Linked DNA regions of Sus scrofa. The protein of the gene in region 2 purifies or fractionates together with the protein of the main gene of each other region. This does not show direct contact. Links are inferred from orthologs where the notes say so. Each region holds a gene or a part of one and is shown on either strand. Other genes may lie near its edges. The genes, in order: CCNB1, ANAPC4, ANAPC11 and ANAPC2.

Evidence for each region.
Region 1: the proteins of ANAPC4 (region 2) and CCNB1 purify together in Homo sapiens (affinity purification with western blotting; 3 studies listed by BioGRID). This does not show direct contact. The link is inferred for Sus scrofa from reciprocal best matches to the Homo sapiens genes ANAPC4 and CCNB1.
Region 3: the proteins of ANAPC4 (region 2) and ANAPC11 purify together in Homo sapiens (affinity purification with mass spectrometry; 8 studies listed by BioGRID and IntAct, with this or other methods). This does not show direct contact. The link is inferred for Sus scrofa from reciprocal best matches to the Homo sapiens genes ANAPC4 and ANAPC11.
Region 4: the proteins of ANAPC4 (region 2) and ANAPC2 purify together in Homo sapiens (affinity purification with western blotting; 12 studies listed by BioGRID and IntAct, with this or other methods). This does not show direct contact. The link is inferred for Sus scrofa from reciprocal best matches to the Homo sapiens genes ANAPC4 and ANAPC2.

What each region holds. Positions count from the first base shown.
Region 1 is NC_010458.4:47,344,033-47,348,571, reverse strand, and holds the end of CCNB1 (G2/mitotic-specific cyclin-B1), read right to left. Parts: intron 3,384-4,539; coding exon 3,225-3,383; intron 3,034-3,224; coding exon 2,797-3,033; intron 2,511-2,796; coding exon 2,370-2,510; intron 1,451-2,369; coding exon 1,340-1,450; intron 900-1,339; coding exon 792-899; 3' UTR 187-791; downstream 1-186. UniProt on the Homo sapiens protein: Essential for the control of the cell cycle at the G2/M (mitosis) transition.
Region 2 is NC_010450.4:19,303,987-19,308,525, forward strand, and holds part of ANAPC4 (anaphase-promoting complex subunit 4), read left to right. Parts: intron 1-1,217; coding exon 1,218-1,323; intron 1,324-4,044; coding exon 4,045-4,177; intron 4,178-4,539. UniProt on the Homo sapiens protein: Component of the anaphase promoting complex/cyclosome (APC/C), a cell cycle-regulated E3 ubiquitin ligase that controls progression through mitosis and the G1 phase of the cell cycle.
Region 3 is NC_010454.4:1,096,121-1,101,274, reverse strand, and holds the start of ANAPC11 (anaphase-promoting complex subunit 11), read left to right. Parts: upstream 1-2,041; 5' UTR 2,042-2,195; intron 2,196-2,701; 5' UTR 2,702-2,712; coding exon 2,713-2,821; intron 2,822-5,154. Other genes in the region: ALYREF (THO complex subunit 4), read right to left, coding at 1,120-1,251, 1,680-1,913. UniProt on the Homo sapiens protein: Together with the cullin protein ANAPC2, constitutes the catalytic component of the anaphase promoting complex/cyclosome (APC/C), a cell cycle-regulated E3 ubiquitin ligase that controls progression through mitosis and the G1 phase of the cell cycle.
Region 4 is NW_018084833.1:718,396-722,934, reverse strand, and holds the end of ANAPC2 (anaphase-promoting complex subunit 2), read right to left. Parts: intron 1,332-4,539; coding exon 1,202-1,331; intron 982-1,201; coding exon 746-981; intron 650-745; coding exon 437-649; 3' UTR 395-436; downstream 1-394. UniProt on the Homo sapiens protein: Together with the RING-H2 protein ANAPC11, constitutes the catalytic component of the anaphase promoting complex/cyclosome (APC/C), a cell cycle-regulated E3 ubiquitin ligase that controls progression through mitosis and the G1 phase of the cell cycle.

The DNA.
Region 1 (4,539 bases), on a different chromosome or scaffold from region 2:
AGAGCCACAGCAACGCAGGATCCGAGCCACGTCTGCAACCTACACCACAGCTCACGGCAACGCCGGATCGTTAACCCACTGAGCAAGGGCAGGGACCGAACCCGCAACCTCATGGTTCCTAGTCGGATTCGTTAACTGCTGCGCCACGACGGGAACTCCCAATAAACTTTTTCAGATACTTTCATATTTGTTCTAAGGATTGTTTTATTTTTCTTAACCAATAAACAAAAAGTAAATTAGGTTTTGAATATAAATTAAAATTCTCATTTTTCCAAGTGAAAAAGTTGATACTAAAGTTGATAATTTAAGAAAGTGGTACAAGTAGATTATTTAGGATTATGACTGCAGCCACCAGAGGAAATATAAAACAAGGGGACTAGGATTGAGACGGTAGACTCTTCCTTGTGTAGAACTAGGTAGCAGATTCTCTCAAGATGACTGAGCTTACATACAGTGTAACATATAAAGATATTAAATGGCTTCAAGACTATATGAACTCATATTAATTAAGTTATGCCAAGTACATAAAACAAGAAGAGCCAATTGTATATATTAGTTGGGTTCCCAGGTAACTGAAAACAGTTTTCATTTTTTAAAAAACATTCTCCACTGTACCTTTAAGACAACTTTTAAGTTATCCTCAAGTGGGAAATAGCCACATTCAAATGAGTTAAGAAGTAAAAAGGACTACAAACTTTATTAAAAGTAAATAAGTGTAACATATAATATGTACAGATGGCACATGGTGCCAATTTTATTTGTAGATATTATAGTATTCCGAAGTTCACAAGTTACACCTTTGCCACAGCCTTGGCTAAATCTTGAACTAGTGCTGAATTCAGCTGGGCTAGAGTGCTGATCTTAGCATGCTTAGATGTGGCATACTTGTTCTTGATAGTCTGGAATGGAAAAACACAGTAATTAATGAAGGAAAAGAGGAAAACCTTATAAGAATCCATGGTACAAATAGTCACTTAAAACCATCAACTCCTTAAAAATCAGCTTATGAATTGTCGGGCCATCAAGTCTTTTTTTTTTTTTTTTACAGCTGCACTTGCAGCATACAGAAGTTTCCAGGCTAGGGGCTAAATTGGCGCTGTAGCCACTGGCCTATACCACAGCCACAACAACGTGGGATCCGAGCCACATCTGCGACCTACACCACAGCTCATGGCAATGCGGGATCCTTAACCTGCTGAGCGAGACCAGGGATCGAACCTGCGTCCTCCTCATGGATGCTAGTCAGATTCGTTTCCACTGAGCCACAGCGGGAACTCCAGGCATCAAGTCTTAATGATTTTCACTTTTCCCCCAACACTCTACAGTGCCACTGACTTACCATGTGCTTTGTAAGCCCTCGATTCACCACGACGATATTCTTAGCCAAGTGTTGCATAACCACAAGAAGGGATTCTTCAGTGTATGACAGGTAATGCTGTAGAGTTGGTGTCTAAGACAACAAAAGTTAAGGTTGAAAATGCTCATCAATGATGGTTTTCATAAAACCTCTAGATGTTACTCAAAAATAGGATAGAGAGGAAGATACTGTGTGACTGATTATAACTGAAATTTAAGACAAGCTTAAGACCCCTTTTTCCCCAGGTACTCTCCTTTCATGCTTTCCCTGGGATCCTGTGCTCAAACCTACTTACATTTTTTAAATTGCTGACTTGTCCACCCCAAAGCTAAACCCCAAGTTCCTCGGAGCTGACTTTCTCATTGATAATTCTATTGCTAGGGTCTAGAGTATCACATGGCACACAGGAGAAATGCTTGTTGTTTTTTTTTTGGTCTTTTTTTGTCTTTTGTTGTTGTTGTTGTTGCTATTTCTTGGGCCGCTCTCGCGGCATATGGAGATTCCCAGGCTAGGGGTTGAATCGGAGCTGTAGCCACCGGCCTACACCAGAGCCACAGCAATGCGGGATCCGAGCCGCGTCTGTGACCTACACCACAGCTCACGGCAACGCCGGATCGTTAACCCACTGAGCAAGGGCAGGGACCGAACCCGCGACCTCATGGTTCCTAGTCAGATTCGTTAACCACTGCGCCACGACGGGAACTCCAGAAATGCTTGTTTAATCAATGAATATGAATAAACTTCTGCTATGTCATTTCACCTGCTTGAGTTTCTCCATCTGTAAGGAGTAGCAACTGCTCTGCTTTTCCCAGAGGGGTATAGAAAGATGAGATTAGGTAATGAAATGGAAGCAAGCTATGAAGATATCACAAACTTGATTTTAAAACCTTCCCTCAGTAGATGCCATATTTAGGAACCAAGTGAATTGTCCTTTAATAGAAACAGGTCTGTATTCAGTAAATACTACAATTTAAAAGCTTGGCGTGACCTTAGTTTGTGGGACAGAGCTTACCCATTCACCATTATCAAGAATCTTCAGGGATAGGCAAAAAGCTCCTGCTGCGATCTGAGAAGGAGGAAAGTGCACCATATCGTAGTCCAACATAGTTAGCTCCATCAGATATTTGGCCAAAGTATGTAACTCAACATCAACCTGGAACAAAACCCACGGGGTCACTGAGCTCGTCTGAGAATTTTGCATTGGCAGTAACTATGGGGTATGCCCATAACTTTTAACTGTAAATGTTTGTCTCTCAACTCAAATGCAATTGCCTATGAAAAACTTTAATATTACCACAACAGCCTGATTGGAAATAAAGACCATCTTTAACCCTTCCCCACGTAGTTAGATACATAGTACAAGGCAGTTGAGTTAGATCTCATTGGTCAGCAGTATTCCCCAATGTACCATACTAAAATTTTCAATTTTTACTCTGTACCTCTCCAATCTTGGATGCTCTCCGAAGAAAATGCAGGGGTAGAGGGCGACCCAGACAAAAATTTAATGCTCTTAGAATCTTCATTTCCATCTGCCTGATTTGGTACTTAGTGTAAGTATTGTCAGTCACAAAGGCAAAGTCACCAATTTCTGGAGGGTACATTTCTTCATATTTGCTGGCAATAAACATGGCAGTGACACCAACCAGTTGGAGCATCTTCTTGGGCACACAATTATCCTGCAATGGGAACCTCAATTGGATGAATAAGTAACATGCATTTGAAAAGGAGGCACAGCGCAATGGAGAAAGACACTCCCACACTAAAATTTCAACTCCCAAGACAGATTTTAGCTGAAAAAGTTTGTTTCTTATGACTTATAGCTAGGACCCTCGAAGAGAGATCTCTCAGTTGCTGAATTTATGCTCACCTGCATGAACCGATCAATAATGGAAACTGTCATGTACATGGTCTCCTGTAGTAACCTGAATTTCATCTGAACCTGCACTAGCCAGTCAATTAGGATGGCTCTCATGTTTCCAGTGACTTCACGACCCAGTAGGTATTTTGGTCTAACTGCTTGTTCTTCCTGCAAAAGAAGTGCGGATTATCCTTAGAAGCAAGACTCCACGTGACATTTCTTTTTTCCTTTCTTTTTTTTTTTTTGTCTTTTTGCTATTTCTTTGGCCGCTCCCGCGGCATATGGAGGTTCCCAGGCTAGGGGTCGGAATCGGATCTGTGGCCACCAGCCTACGCCAGAGCCACAGCAACGCAGGATCCGAGCCGCGTCTGCAACCTACACCACAGCTCAGGGCAACGCCGGATCATTACCCCCCTGAGCAAGGGCAGGGACCGAACCCGCAACCTCATGGTTCCTAGTCGGATTCGTTAACCACTGCGCCATGACGGGAACTCCCCACATGACATTTCTGACCAGAAATGTCCCCTCAGAGTAGCTCTAAAACATTTAGGATCGCTAACAGTTCTTTTTTATTATTTTGTTTTGTTTTTATCTTTTTTAGGCCTGTACCCACAGCATGTGGAAGTTGCTAGGCTAGGGGTTGAATCGGAGCTGCAACCGCCAGCCTACGCCATAGCCACAGCAACGAGGGATCCAAGCGATCTCTGTGACCTACACTGCGGCTCACCACAACGCTGGATCCTTTAACCCACAGAGCAAAGCCAGGGCTCAAAACTGTGTCCTGGAGTTCCCGTCGTGGCTCAGTGGTTAACGATCCGGCGTTGCCGTGAGCTGTGGTGTAGGTTGCAGATGCGGCTCAGATCCCAAGTTGCTGTGGCTTTGGCGCAGGTCAGTGGCTACAGCTCCGATTCGACCCCTAGCCTGGGAACCTCCATATGCCAAGGGAGCGGCCCAAAGAAATAGCAAAAAGACAAAAAAAAAAAAAAAAAAAAAAAAAAAACTGTGTCCTCATGGATACTAGTCAGGTTCGTTACTGCTGAGCCACAACAGGAAATCCCTCTAGTGATTGGATTATTCATACAGTCATTGCAAACAGCTCTTTTGCTGAGGAAGAAATAAAGCAAACATTCAACAGGACAATGTGACAGGTTTTCACAATGGCAGATCTTACTATGTCCATTTCACCACTACTGGCCCATACCTTGTCCCCACTTCTTCCCTAATAAAGATACCATAGTATCACCTCATATCTTTTCACTTAAGACTCTAAATCCAGAACCTGAAGTAGAAGAAAATAGCAACAGCTCCCAGATCAGCTGGAACC
Region 2 (4,539 bases):
GGCACCCAAGTGTGTTATGCTATAGCCCTGAGGACTGAACTCCCCTCTTCCATGTGTTGTTACAGGGACAGTCCTTGTACAGGAAAATGCTCTAAGTCTTACAGCTTAAAGGTCATCTGTATCAGTGGTGCTTTACGAAAAACAAAAGCAAAGAACAAATTGTTTTTATAAACAATATAAGAAGTATGTAAAAATGCCCTGAAAACATATCGATTACAGATAACAGCTATTTTTGTCTGTACTGATTTTGCTCAGATCTTATTCATCTTTTACTTTAAAAAATGTGTAAAATTCGAGAACTTAAAATAAGTAAAATTAGAGAACTTTTTGTAAGTTTTTAATCTTCTGGCCCAGTCGTAGCACGGCCATGCAGAGCAGCCACCACCTGAGAAGCCTGTAGGGAGGCAGCGTTTTCAGGTGAGAAGCACCTTTCAGGGAGGAGAAGGAAGGTCCTGATTCCTGACTGTGAATTCCAGAGGGCACACAGCAAGGGTTTCAGAAGTAAGGAAAAGCAGAGGTGGGCTCGGAAAAGAGCATTGAGTCTGGGGGCTGAACCGTTCCTTGGGAGTTCTGGATTCCCTGTAACCTGGAACAGGCGTGCAGGGTGCTCTGAGGTTAGCTGTGGGGGTGGGAATTAAGGGGTGTGTGTGAGTTGGGGGGGGCGGGCCTTTAGGAGCACCTGCAGTTCTAAGGCTTTTTTTGTCTTTATTCCCAATGGCTGTAGAGAGGATGGAGTAGGGACCACTTTTATTTTAGCACAAGGTGCTCCAGGGCATTCTCTTGGCCCTCCGAGGTGGGCATTTTCCTGTGTGTAAATGGAATGGCTAAGTGACTTGTCTGAGCCCATGGCCAGTAAGTGACACAGCTGAAACTGTTGTGTGATTCCAAGTTTAGTGTTATTTAATTATATACAGCCACCTTTCCCGTTCCGTTTGTGTCCTTTATTTCTTTTTTTGTCATCTTGTTGGATATCTTCATATTGCTTTCTGAAAAATAAGTCTCTTGTTGACGTAAAAGGTGGGGAAAAGTATAGGATACAGAGTTAAATTAGACCTCTTTTCACCTGTTTTTCAGATATTGTTATCTTTTAATTTCTTCTGATAGCTCAATATTATACTTGATATGAGTTTTTAAAAATTCTATAGTGGGGATCTAAGATTATTTTAGTTTTGGAAATGGATTATTTATTATGTGCCATTATATCTGTTTTGTCTTAGGTTTTACTTCATCGACTTGCAAGTTTTCATCGAGTTTGGAGTTTTCCACCAAATGAAAATACAGGAAAGGAAGTGACCTGTCTGGCTTGGAGACCAGATGGCAAACGTAATGATAGTATTATAAAAAAATACATTTTTTGTTTTTCAGAAAGAGTATTCTGTAAAGAGAGCTTACTTCCACAAAGAATTTATTGTTCGTATTATATACTAGAAGATTCTAGATACACATTTGGAAACTTTGTGTTTTCGAATGCTTTAAAGTGTTTTCATAGAACTCAGAGCAATTCTACCACCTTGATTCTCGGCAGAGATATCTCTAAGATGAAATCTGACTTCTTGGCAAAGAGAAGTCCGAGAAGACATTTGATGGGAATATACAGGGACTTTGGTTTTGTTCTGCCTTCATCTTGTCATCCTGCACTGTTTGCCCCAAGCTTCCTTTGCCACTCCCTAGTGAGTTCAGTGCCATCTCGGCCCTTTTCTCCCCAAAATGTGTTTTAGCATTAAACATGTGGCTCGTAAATATTCTTTTTTTTAAATCATTTATTTACATACATATATTTTCTTTTCTACTGTACAGCATGGTGACCCAGTTACACATACATGTATACATTCTTTTTTCTCACATTACGTGTTCCATCAGAAGTGACTAGACAGAGTTCCCAGTGCTACACAGCAGGATCCTATTGCTGATCCATCCCCCAGGCAACATTCTGCATCTATTAATCCCAGGCTCCCAGTCCATCCCACTCCCTCCCCCTCTCCCTTGGCAACCACAGGTCGAAAGGTTCTTTTGTGCCGTATATTAGATTCCAGATATAAGTGATACCATGTGGTGTGGCTTGTAAATAGTCTTTCTTCACAGATGCTTGCCTCCCCTGAGGGACTGTCCCCTCTGAGCCCCTTTCTTCAACTTCTGCGTGATCTTCCTCCTCTTGGTGTCCTGTAGGTTGTAGCTTGCTATATGGTAGCGCTGAGGACTGAACTCCCCTCTTCATGTGTTGCTCCGGGGACAGCCCTTGTACAGGGAAATGTATCAGTGGTGCTTTACAAAAAACTAAAAGCAAAGAAATGATAGGTACTCTGCTTACTTTTTTCCTACATAAATATAAGTATGTAAAACTGTAAGTATGTAAATAAGTATGTAATGTCCTGAAAACATGTCCATTACAGATAGCAACTATTTTTGTCTGTACCCATTTTGCTCAGTTCTTGTTTCATCTTTTACTTTAGAAAATATGTAAAATTAGAGAACTTAATTAAAAGTAGAGAACTTCTGTTGTAAGTAATATTTTGAGATCCTGTACTATTCATCCAAAAACACCAGGAGCTCAAAAATCATGAAAATTGGTATGTGTGAAAATGTGTTTAAGTAGATGATTTTTTTTTTTTTTTCCTGCACCTGCAGCATGTGGCAGTCTCCAGGCCAGGGATCGAACCCACACCACAGCATTGCCCAGAGCCACGGCAGTGACAACACTGGATCCCTGGATCCTTAACTGCTGGGCTACCAGGGAACGCCTATATGATTTTTTTTTTTTAATTTTTTTTTTATAATTTTTTTTTATTTTCCCACTGTACAGCAAGGGGGTCAGGTTATCCTTACATGTATACATTACAATTACATTTTTCCCCCACCCTATTTTTATTGTTAAAAATGTCTCGTGGAGTTCCCATCGTGGCGCAGTGGGTAACGAATCCAACTAGGAACCATGAGGTTGCGGGTTCGATCCCTGCCCTTGCTCAGTGGGTTAAGGATCCGGCATTGCCGTGAGCTGTGGTATAGGTCGCAGACATGGCTCGGATCCCCCGTTGCTGTGGCTCTGGCATAGGCTGGCAGCTACAGCTCCTATTAGACCCCTAGCCTGGGAACCTCCCACATGCCGTGGGAGCGGTCCAAGAAATGGCAAAAAGACCAAAAAAAACAAAACAAAAAGTCTCGTGTTTTTAGACTATAAAATAGGGTTTTGTTTAGTAATGATTATTTTAATATTACTTTAAATTGGTTTGAAGAAGGTAGACTTGGCTTGCCTCACATCTAGTGTGTATTGGTATGCAGTAAAACTCACATCCTTCTATTTGGAAATTCTTAAATTTGATAGGAAGACGGTAATGGCTTACGTAGAGAAACAGTATTAGATAATTTAGCCACAGTGAAAGGAAGAAGATCAGTACTTGATGGCCCTGTTCATTAAGGTTTAGAAATAAAAAAGAGGAATAAAAAACACCTTGCAAGAACCAAAAGATGGAATCACTTTTTAACTTTTAGATAGGGACCAGTATGACTTGGTGATAGGATTTTTTTTTTTTTTTCTTTTTTGGCCACCCCGTGGCGTATGTAGTTCTTGTGCCAGGGATCAGAGCCGAGCCTCATTGGTGACCTACACTGCAGCTGCGGCAACGCAGATCCTTAACCCACTGTGCTGGGCTAGGGATCGAACCTGTGTCCTGGCACTACAGAGATACCACCAATCCTTTGTGCCACAGTGGGAACTCCGATATGATATTATTGTTTATGCGTTGACTCCTGTTCTGTATTTTTTGCTTGGCATCAAGGTTTCAGTCTAGAGTGTCTGGTGTGGAAGATGTTAAGAACAGTACACAAGAAAGTAGATTGCTCATGAAAGATGAGCATTTGAATATAAGTGTAAATAACAGCATAACTATATGCAGTGATGGCTTTAATTTTTTAATTACCTGAAGGATTGGGGGGTTAAATACTTTCTATGATTATGATGTATTGAAAATAGTAAAATTGGGCAAGAAGCAAAATGCCCATCTTTCTCAAATGTACTCATCTTTTCTGATTATTTCTTCTTGTTTTTAGTTTTGGCCTTTGCTCTTGCTGACACCAAGAAAATTGTTTTGTGTGATGTAGAAAAACCTGAAAGCTTGCACTCGTTCTCTGTGGAGGCTCCAGTTTCTTGTATGCATTGGATGGAAGTGACCGCAGAGAGCAGGTAGAGTAACAACAAAAGAAAAACTCCAGTTGTCACGGCAGGATGTTCATGAAATTTTCATTTTTTATAAGTGGAAACTTAGAAGTACCTGAGTATTGAGTCTGTGCATTTAACTTTTGGTTTTAAGCTTATCAAGGGGAAATTTTTTAATGCTTTTTTAGATTTTTTTTCTTTTTGAAAAAATCTATTTTCTTACTGGAGCGATAATGCCTGAATGGCCGAGAGTTTTCTTTTCAGTTATTTTTAGTGGTTTGTATCAATGACTTATCCTTTCAAGTAATATTCATTAAAATTACTGATTAGTAAATTGAAGTTCTATATCCCTTTTCTCCATGTTTTTCATCTGGAGCTTGTGTGTGTGT
Region 3 (5,154 bases), on a different chromosome or scaffold from region 2:
CTGCAAAGGCCAAGATCACAGAGCGAGGGGCTCTAAGCCAAGGTGGATCAGCTCGAAGGGCCCGCTGACTCGGGAGCCCTGACCCAGCCCCTCCCCCGGGCAGATTCGGGCTCACCTTTCCCTCTCCTCCTACTCAAGCCTGCCGCAAAGTCTGAAGTCAAGCGCTGCCATGGAAACTGCCCTGACCTCAGGCAGGCTGGGAGTTGGAGAGGGAACCCAGAGTGTGGGGCTACTCCGGCCGCAGGCACACAGCGGGAAGTGGAGTTCACCAAAAGCGGTTTCCAGTGGATGCCAGAAACCACCTTAAAAAAAGTGTGGAGACACTGTGAGCGCTCACTGGCCTTGCTCTGTCCCCCCACGGCTAAGTAAAACGGCTGGGCTCTGGGAGACCGAACCCAGGAAGGCCCCTCACCCGGACCCAGCCATCTGCAGGACTGACCCCCAAAACGGCATTACTTCACGAGAAAACCAGTTCAAGTGCCTTGGAGAGTGGATTTAAAAAAGAGAAAAAGAAACGGAAAAGAAAAGAGGCTTGAGTCGAAGACGAGACTAAATAAACACTTGCGCCGCTAACGAGACCCAGAGCGTGAGCATAGGTGAGAGAAAGACCGGGACCCAGTTCCACGGGGCTTAAGGCAGAGGGGACCAGAGATGCCTGTAGCACTCTGCTTCTGCACTTTGTCAGCCCTGCAGAGAAAGGGCTTTCTCCTCCCAAAGCATCACTAAAACGGGCACGAAATAAAGCCGCAGACAGCCGCGCTCTTTCAGGGACGCAGAACCACACGCGTTCAGCCACACTTGCCAGAAAAGGGCAGGCAGAGGCTCCTCACCCCCACGGCGGATGCTTAGCTACCAAAGCCGCGGTGCCTCGGCCCGGCCCGACCCGGGCCTGTCTTCCAGCGCAAACTGAACCAGCAGTTGGACTTTCAGCTCTAGCTTGGCCTTTGCTATGCACTCCAGCAGCCCCTTCCAGGGAGCAGTGGTGGCCAGCCCTCGAGGGCCTGGGAGGGGCTCACTGTCCCAAGGTGGGTGCGGATTCAGGGTCCCGGCCCGTCCCAAACACCACAGTCAGTGCTGTACAGGGTGAGCTGCTCCCGAGGAGAAGCTCCAGTCTCTTACCTGAATATCAGCGTCGGACACGCCAAAATCCAGATTTGACACCAACAGTTTCCCACCGGTCTCCACGCCGGCACCACCCCCAAAACCGCTGTCGAAAAGGTCGTGTTGCCATTTGTCAGGAAGCTGTTTCGGCTAAAGAAAAAGAAAACGCGACAGAAAAAGACCCATAAGTCGCGCTCCAGGACTCGCCCTCGCCCCCACGGCCACAAGACCTTCCCCCATCGCGGCCCGGGAGGAAGGCACCGAGAGGGGCCCGCAGCCCCCGCTTCCCGCCCGCGGGGCCGCACTTCCCGCAACTTCTCGGTTCCCTCCAACTAACTTCCCGCCGCCAGGGCGGCCGCGCCAACGTCTCCTCGGCCCCCGGCGCCACGAGGCCCGGCGTCCAGCCCAAACAAAGGCCGGTGGGGTCTCGCTTCGGGGCCCGGCTGGCGCGCGACCTCCCCCGTCCGCCCGGCCGGCGCCCGCGCCCCCACCCCCCCGGCCCGGCCCGCCCGCTGCTCCCGCGTCGCGCTGCCTGCCCGCCCCCCGGCCGCGGCCCGCCAGCCGGCCTCCGCACTCACCCTGCTGTAGGGCGCCGGCCGGTTCCTGCCGCCGCCCGCCGCGCCGCGGGCGATGGCCGGCCGGTTCCGAATGGGTCCGCCGCCTCGGCTCACTCGCGCGGCAGCCTGCGCCCCGCCGCCGCGGCCGCCCTGGGAGCCGGCCCGGCCGCGGCCCCTGCCCCCGCCGCGGCCGCCTCGCTGGCTCCGGTTCAGCTTAATGATGTCGTCCAGAGACATATCCATTTTGTCGGCCATGGCGGGCGCGGAATCGGCCTCGGCTGGAGCCCGCGCGTCAGCACGCCGGCGCGTCACTTCCTGCGCCGCGCGGCCTTTTCCGGGCCTGCGTCCTCGGAGCGGCCGCGGATTGGCTGCGAGGCGGCGGCGGCGTCGGGGGGCGGGGCGGGGCGTGCGCGCTGGACCCCGGGCTTCGGCGGGCGCCGCTGAGAAGTGCCTGTCCGCAGCCGCGGTCGTTTATATACCTTCCCGCGCGGGCGCCGGCGCCGCCAACGGAAGGCGGGTGGGGCAGCGCGTGATTTGGTTAGTGGGGGTGCGGCCGTTGGGCGGGGCCGGGCTTCCGCCCCTCCCTTGCCCCTCCTTGCACGTCCTAACCGGGTCCTGCCCCTCCCCCCGCCCCGAACCCGCGCTCGGGTCCGCGGAGGCGGGGGGAGCGGCCGCGCAGGCCGGGGGCTTGTTTCCGCGGGTGTCTTGCAGGGAGGGGTTTGGCTCTCCTCCTGACCTCGACAGTCATGTCCCTTTCAGACGTACACACGGCAGGATTTTGCAGTGGTTAACGGAAGCCGACGCCCCCTTCCGTGGACGCCCGGGCAGAAGCGCGGCGTTGGGAGATGCGCTGAGCGCCCGGTCCTCCCGGGGACCCGGCCCTTGCCCCAGCCGCCTCGCTGACAGTTTGTGCTGCCCTGCCGGAGGCGACTCCTGCCCTCCCCGACCCTCTAGAGGGCTCGGGGCGGAACCTCTTCTTTGGCTCCCAAGTGCTGTAGCTCAGCAGCCTCACCGGAACCCCGGGGGTCTCTTCCCTCCCGCAGGCTCCCGCGCCATGAAGGTGAAGATCAAGTGCTGGAACGGCGTGGCCACGTGGCTCTGGGTGGCCAACGACGAGAACTGCGGTATCTGCCGGATGGCCTTCAATGGCTGCTGCCCGGACTGTGAGTGCCCCTGCCCGCCCTCGAGTTTTGACTGCTTGCTGGCCTTGGCAGGTCCTTAGAGATACCTGCATAGCATCCCCAGCGTTTGATTTCCTTTCCCCAAGAAAGTTAATGGGGAAAGGCTAGTCAGTTTGGGCCCATGTTTGTACACGAGACGTCTGTCAAAGGTTTGGTGAGAAAAAAGAGCACAGCTTCCTGTCCAGGTGAGAGTCACTGTGAAACACGTGGGACTGAGAGATGTGTTAAGATCTTTTATTCGAAGACCTTTATTCTCAAGCCAACAAAAGAATGGAATGTTATAAAACCACTCTCCCATCTAGCAGGTCAAACCGGAAATGACATGTTTCCGTATTTGCTTTTGTCCAAATGTTTTAAAGTCAGTGCTGGAGGTAATGCTTTTTGCCACTCACTTCTCTCTGTCATTCGCCACTGCTGTCACCACAGACAACACAACGCAAGGAGACATCTTTTGCCGCTTTTGCCGTGTTCGTTCCTTCCCAGGGTGTTTGGTGAAGTGAAAGTGGTTGTTATATTCAGGTCAAGAGTTAATTTAGTTTGGGGACAGACGAAAGGGTCTCTGGCTTTGCCAAGGGGACAAGGGTGGTCCCAAGAGGGAGGTGGGGCTTGGGGACCACTGAGCAGCTGCTCGGGTGCAGTGAGTGACCAGGCCTGTCTTGTGGGGCCATGTGAGGCCGAATGGTGCTGCTTCTTAGAGTCACGTGTTTCTACCCTGGTGGTAATCCTTCGTCTTCCTGCTGAGAGGGAATCTCATCACCCAGGACTCAGCCCATCCTGTGAGTCAGCCAGGCGGGATGCAATCTTAGGAGGCCCTGACTGGCTCTGCCTGATGGGGTTTTCCTGAACGTGAAGGAGAGGAGAAGTGGGAGATCTGGCCCTTCCTAGAGAAAAAAGAAAGGAAACCACCTTTTCCAAGAGTACCACACGGGTGGGGTGGGTATCTGCAACCTCCTCAGCAGCAGATTACGGCCTCAGGAGAGAAGAGTCCTCGAAAGCAATTTTGTGGCTGTGCCCTTGGCCCGAAGTGGGCGATGAGCCTGTGTGGTACCCGGTGCACACCGCCCAGTGGCACACTCCAGCTGCGGGGCAGGCTGACGGGCGAGTGTGTCAGCTGCAACGGAGAGGGGGCTTGGAGTCTGAACTTGGGGCCTGCTGGTGGTGAAACAGAGGGAGCCGGTGGTACTGAGCAAAGTGGTGGGTGAGCCCAGGATGCCTTCTGCCCGGATCAGGTGACACTGGGGCTTCTCTGCGGAAACGGCACTCTGAAGAATCCGGAGGGACTCAGACTGTGATGAATCCACTCCTCCCAGGGTTTCCGAGGGCGGGCGAGTCTTGCTGAGAGGATTCCACCGGCCTGAGCCGGCCCGCCGCCAGCATGCTCTTGTACTGTCAGGTCCCGGGGCAGGCAGGCCGGCCGGGGCACCCACCAGTGGGCTAGCTGGCCCTGCTCGTCCTCTCCTGTTCTGTTTGTGAGGGAGTCTGACGTGTCAGGGGTGATGGCAAGCCTTGTTCTGCTGAGGCGGAACGGCCGGGTGGGACGCCGGACGCTTATCTAAACGAGGGCCCCCACCCGGTGGGCTCCTGGCACAGCGTCCTGCTCACCCCACCCCCGTGGCCTGGGAGGCAGAGGGAGTTTTGTCCTTGCCAAAGGTTGTCGGAAAGGGTGAGATGTCTCCAGTTACAAAAAGGATGTTTTAAAAGATTGAGGAACTGCTCCAAACAAATGAAGGCGATGGCGGTGCGACGTGTGTCCCACGGGGGTGGCTGCTCGGGTCGGGAAGGAGCTGGGTGTCTTCAGCAGACGTGGACACGACGACAGCCACCTGGTCGGAACAGCGCCCGCCCCTCAGGTGGCAGCGGCCCTCATTAGTTGTGGGGCCTTGGCCTCCATCAGGTGGGGCAGCGTGGTGGCTGCAGAGCGCGGTGAGGCTGGTCGAGAACACAGGCCAGGTGCCTGGCCCGCCGTCCAGCAGAAGCAGGTGCTGCCTGGGGCTCGAGAGCAACGTGGTGTGGCTTGGCCGTGGTGGTGTCTCCTTAACGTATTGTACGGTCACCTGTGTCCCTGTTTGGTGTCTTAAGAACCAGGGCCACAGGCGACCAGGCCAGCCCGGGGGTCTCGGGGTTCCCAGACCTGCACTTAGGAGCCACTTCCTGGGCAAGATGGCCCCTGTTGTCCTGGTGGTCTGTCTGTGCACCAGTGACACCTTACACAGCTAGCACGTGAGGGCCGCAGAGACCCCCCAAGGCAGTGACGTAGGGAATGGGACCTAGGAGAAGGTGGGGGCAGTGGGCTGCAGCCCCTCAGTCCCGGCGGG
Region 4 (4,539 bases), on a different chromosome or scaffold from region 2:
AGATCGAGGGTGACCTAAGGGTTCCTGTCTGGGGCCAGAGGGGTGCAGAGTTCCCCGGTGGCCCAGCACTTAAGGATTCAGCACTGTCACTGAACTCAGGCTGGATCCCTGGCCCGGTAGCTTCTGCATGCTACAGGTGTGGCCAAAAAAAAAAAAAAAAAAAAAGGCCCGAGCAGTGAGGCTCGAGCTGGAGCCAGGCTGCTGAGCCCTGTGAGCTCCAGCCAAGCCACAGGCCTGGCCGAGCCACAAGCCTGACGTGCCAGGACCCCTCCTGGCCTGGAACCCAAACAGCCGCGCGGCTTCCTGCATGTGCCCCCCGGGGGCCAGGCCCCGCCAGAGGGACAACCTGCATCACGTGCCCGCAAGGGCCCACAAAGCCAGCAGGACAGCGAGAGGCAGAGGAAAGGTCTGCTTTACTCGGCGCGGGGCGGGCGTGTCAGCCGCAGCTCTTGGGCAGGCGGTAGACGCCGGCGGCGTAGACGAGCTGCTGGTCCCGCACTTTCTTCTGCAGGAAGCCCTGGAGCTCCTGCAGGTCGATCTCAGCCAGCGCGGGGCCGGTCACCACGAACATGCGCAGCATGCTGTAGATGCGCTCCAGCGAGAGGCTCTCCAGGTTGGTCAGCATGGCCTGGATGTACGTCCAGAAGAGCTGGGGGACAGCGGCGGCTCAGCGGGCGGGCAGGCCCCCCGCAGGGCCGCCACCTCACGGGGGCCAAGCCCGGCGCCGCCCCCGCCCCCGGCGCACCAGCAGCTCCTCCTCCTTCTGGTCGGCCTGCGAGGCCATGCCCGAGTCGCTCTCATCGTCACTGTCGATGAGCACCATGCTGTCCCGGTCCTGGGGCCGCTCCTCCTCCACCACCGAGAAGGTGCCGGCCGGCTCCTCGCGCAGCACACCCTGCTGCAGCCACACCGACATGCGCCGCCGCAGCAGCGCCACGGGCATCTTCACTGCCTTGCTCAGCTCCTCCAGGGTCCAGCTGGCTGTGGGCGGGGGGGGCAGGCACACTGGGTGCACTGGGGGCCACCGTGCCTCCCAGAACCTGGGACCCAGCTCAGCAGGACTCAGACGGCCCAGCTGGGCGAGGGGGTGGGGGGCACAGGAAGGGGTTGTTGCCTGCGTGGCCTTGGGCCACCTGGGCCCGGGCCGCCCTCTGCAGACACAGAGCAGTGCCCGGCACCGGCCCTGGGAGCATGGGCTCACCTTGGTCCTGGAAGTACAGCAAGACCACTGCCTGCACAGGGGTCACGGCCACAGACAGGGTGCGGTCGGCCAGCTCCACATCCATGGTTACCAGGCCCAGGGTGTGCTTCCAGCTGAGTGTCCGCATGGCCTGGGGAGGGCTGGGGTCAGCACAGGCAGCCCAGCTGCTCTGCTGGCTCAGGCCCCCCTCCCCACCACCACAGGCAGAGGAGCTGCGCAGCAGCTCAACCGAGTGGGGAGGGCCGCCATGCCCCCGGGACGTCCCGTCTCAATCCCGGACCTCAGATTGTGACCTGACGTGGGAACAGTGCCTCTGCAGATGTCACAAGTGAAGACGAGGCTGGTGGTCCTGGAGTAACGTGGGCCCTCACCTACCACCACTGGTGGCCCAGAGCGCGGTGGCTGCACACACACGGGGGAAGACAGAGGCGCCTCTGCGGCTGCACGAGGCAAGAGGGCTCGCCTGCGGCCCCCAGAAGGCACACAGCCAGGCTGACAGCTCCAGCCCAGACCCTGGCCTCCGCCACTATGTTCCTGTCGTTCTAAGCCACCTGCTTCTTGGTCCTTTGTGACAGCAGCCCCAGGAGGAGGCTGAGGGTGCTGCTGTTACAAACTTCAAGAAAAAAAAAAGTGCAAGCAGCCGTGGTGTTGAGGGGCAGGGGGAGCTGGGAGAGCTGGGAGCTGCGCGCTCCCAAAAGCCTGGATTGCCCCGCGGAGAGCCTTGGTAGAGAGACGGCAGAGGCCGTCCTCAAGAGGTCTGCTGAAAGGAGGACCCTGTCGCTGGAGCTGGAGGACAGGCAAGCTTGTTGTGCAGTGGCAGGGACGGGTCGTGGAGGGTGGCAAGCGGCACCTGACGTTTGGCTGCGATTTCCAAGCCGGGAAGGTGTGGCCTGGCTGCTCCTTACAGTTTGCAGGCCACGGGAGGGAAACCAGGAAGAAATTGGTACAAGCACCAGGAACCAGCACCCGGCGCCTGGCATCTTCCCACGTGCTCTGGGGAGTCGAGGGGCCCCAGAGGTGATGTACGTCAGGGTGGCAGCAACCAGCAGCGGCCGCCAGCAGGAAAGCCAGGACGGTCAGAGCCCCATGGAGGGACTGGACCGTGAACTGCGCGGAGGTCAACAAGGGTTCGGAGAACTTTCTACCAGTGGAAACGACATCAGCCTGAACGGAAAGGGAGGGCCGGCCAGGCAGGAGACTGGCTCGGCTCGGGCAGAGCCTCGGAGATGTAGATACCAGATGCCTGGCCTGGCCGAGCGCGCCCCAGCCCAGCCCAGCCGCGGGGCCAAATTCCCTCCCCGGATTTCAGCCCTGCTCAGGGGCGGGCCCTTCCCTGTCGCCCGTGGAGCGGGGCTGTCTGCCCATCACCAGACGTGGGAAGCAGCGAGGTGCTCAGCTGGCTTCACAGGTTCACAGCTGAAGAACTGTGCCCCAGTTCTCCCCTCACCCAGCCTAGATGCTATTTGTTTGCTTTAAACTTTCTTTTTGGCCACGCCCTTGGGACGTGGACGGTCCAGGTCAGGGATGGAACCCACGCCACAGCAGAGACCTGAGCCGCTGCAGTGACAGCGTCAGGTCCTTACCCCGCTGTCCAACAGGGGAGCTCGCAGACATGGTTTATATGTGGAGGTTTGGGCTCTGAGCTGCTGGAAGGGGAACACTCCAGGAAGGCTCAGCTGGGCTGAATGTACTCTGCACGTGAGAAGGATGTGAGGTTTGGGGGTCCAGAGGACAGGCTCCTATGGCCTGAAGTGCGACCCCCCCAAAAAAGATGCTGAAGCCCTGACCCCCGGGGCCTCCGAAGCTACCTGGGAAATGAAGTTCTTCCCATGTGGTTAAAGCGAGGTCGTCCTGGGGTACAGTGGGCCCTTAATCCGGTAGGACTGGTGTCCTTGTAAGAAGAGGGACAGGGACAGCAGGAGAGGCCGTGGGCCAAGACGCAGGGGACAGAGCGATGCGCCTACAGGCCAAGGAGTGAGGCCTGAAAGAGGCAGGGACGCCCTCTCTTGGAGCCTCAGGAGGGAGCCCTGTGGACCCCGATCCTCAGCTTCTGGCCGCCTGACCTGAGACGAGAGCTCCGTGCTGCCTAAGGCCCATCTGCGGGGCTCGGTCCTGGCCGCCACGCCGGGCCAGGCGCTGCTGGGTCGGCCCACAGCCCCTTAGCTCTGAGTGGGGAGGCAAGGACCCAAGCCCACTTCGTGGAGAGAAAACGGAGACACGGCTGGCAGCTCGCCCGGGTCACCAGCAGGCCCTCTGGCACCAAGGCCATGACCTTTACCACCCTCACGCCAGCCCAGAGTCGGGCAGGTGCGAGGCACGAGGTCGGCACAGCCCTGGGGCTGGGAGCCTGGCTGGAGGGAGTCAGAGGCACACGGCCGCGGGCCTGCCTCTGGCCCAGCTCCGGGGCTGGCTGTGGCCACTCTGGTGTCCGGCTGGGTTTAGACCAGGTGTCCTGGGCTGCGTCTGGGTCAGGACGGAACTCGGGTGGAAGGCAGTGGGGCCTCCGCTGGCAGGTGTGCTGGAGCAGCGGGAGGCCGTGTGCAGCACAGGGCGCCGAGCACACGGGCTGCCACACAGACATCTCCCACCAGGAAGGTGGGCGTGCAGTGCCAAGGCCCCACACCCAGGTAAGAGCAGGGAGCGTGGGGGGGCCCTGCACCTCCCTCCTGCGGGGCTGACCACACCCCGGCTCCCCGCCAGGCCACCCCCCGCAGGGACCGGCCGCCCTGCACCGTCCTGTCCCTCAAGGACGAGGCGCCTTAACAGCAGCCGCATCTAGACAGCTAAGCTGGACGAGCCGCCACCCCTCTCGCTGGCCTGGCCCTGCCGCTCCGGTGCGAGGGGTCTCCGAGCCCTGACTTCTGGCCCCCCATCTCCAGGGGTGTCCCAGGTCCCTCCAGGGCTGGGGGTCTGCACCCTGGAGACCTGTGGCCACGCGGGCCCCACACCCCAGTCAGCCTGATGGGCCAGAACCTGCCTCTCCACCTGCGCCCAGAAACCCGGGAGAGCCTCCTGGCCCCGCCTCTCTGCCGAGGCGCCTGCGCAGAGCCCTCCGGGGAAGGAAGGGTCCTCCGGGCCGCAGACCCCGCCCAGGCCAGGCTCCACCCACCCTCGCCTCTGCCCCAGACGCCGACCCGGGCCCCAGGACGGATGGGATGAGGGAGACACTCGGCCGAGGGGCCCCCCTCACACTCTCGCCCGATCCTGGGGCATCCTGACCCCAAGGAGCAGCTCCCAGGGACGAAGCCGCGGAGGCGCGGGATGGGGAGGGTCACGGAGCTCAAGCGCCTCAGGCGCAACCGGAGGCTACCCTGGAGGCGGCTCCCGGGCAGACACCC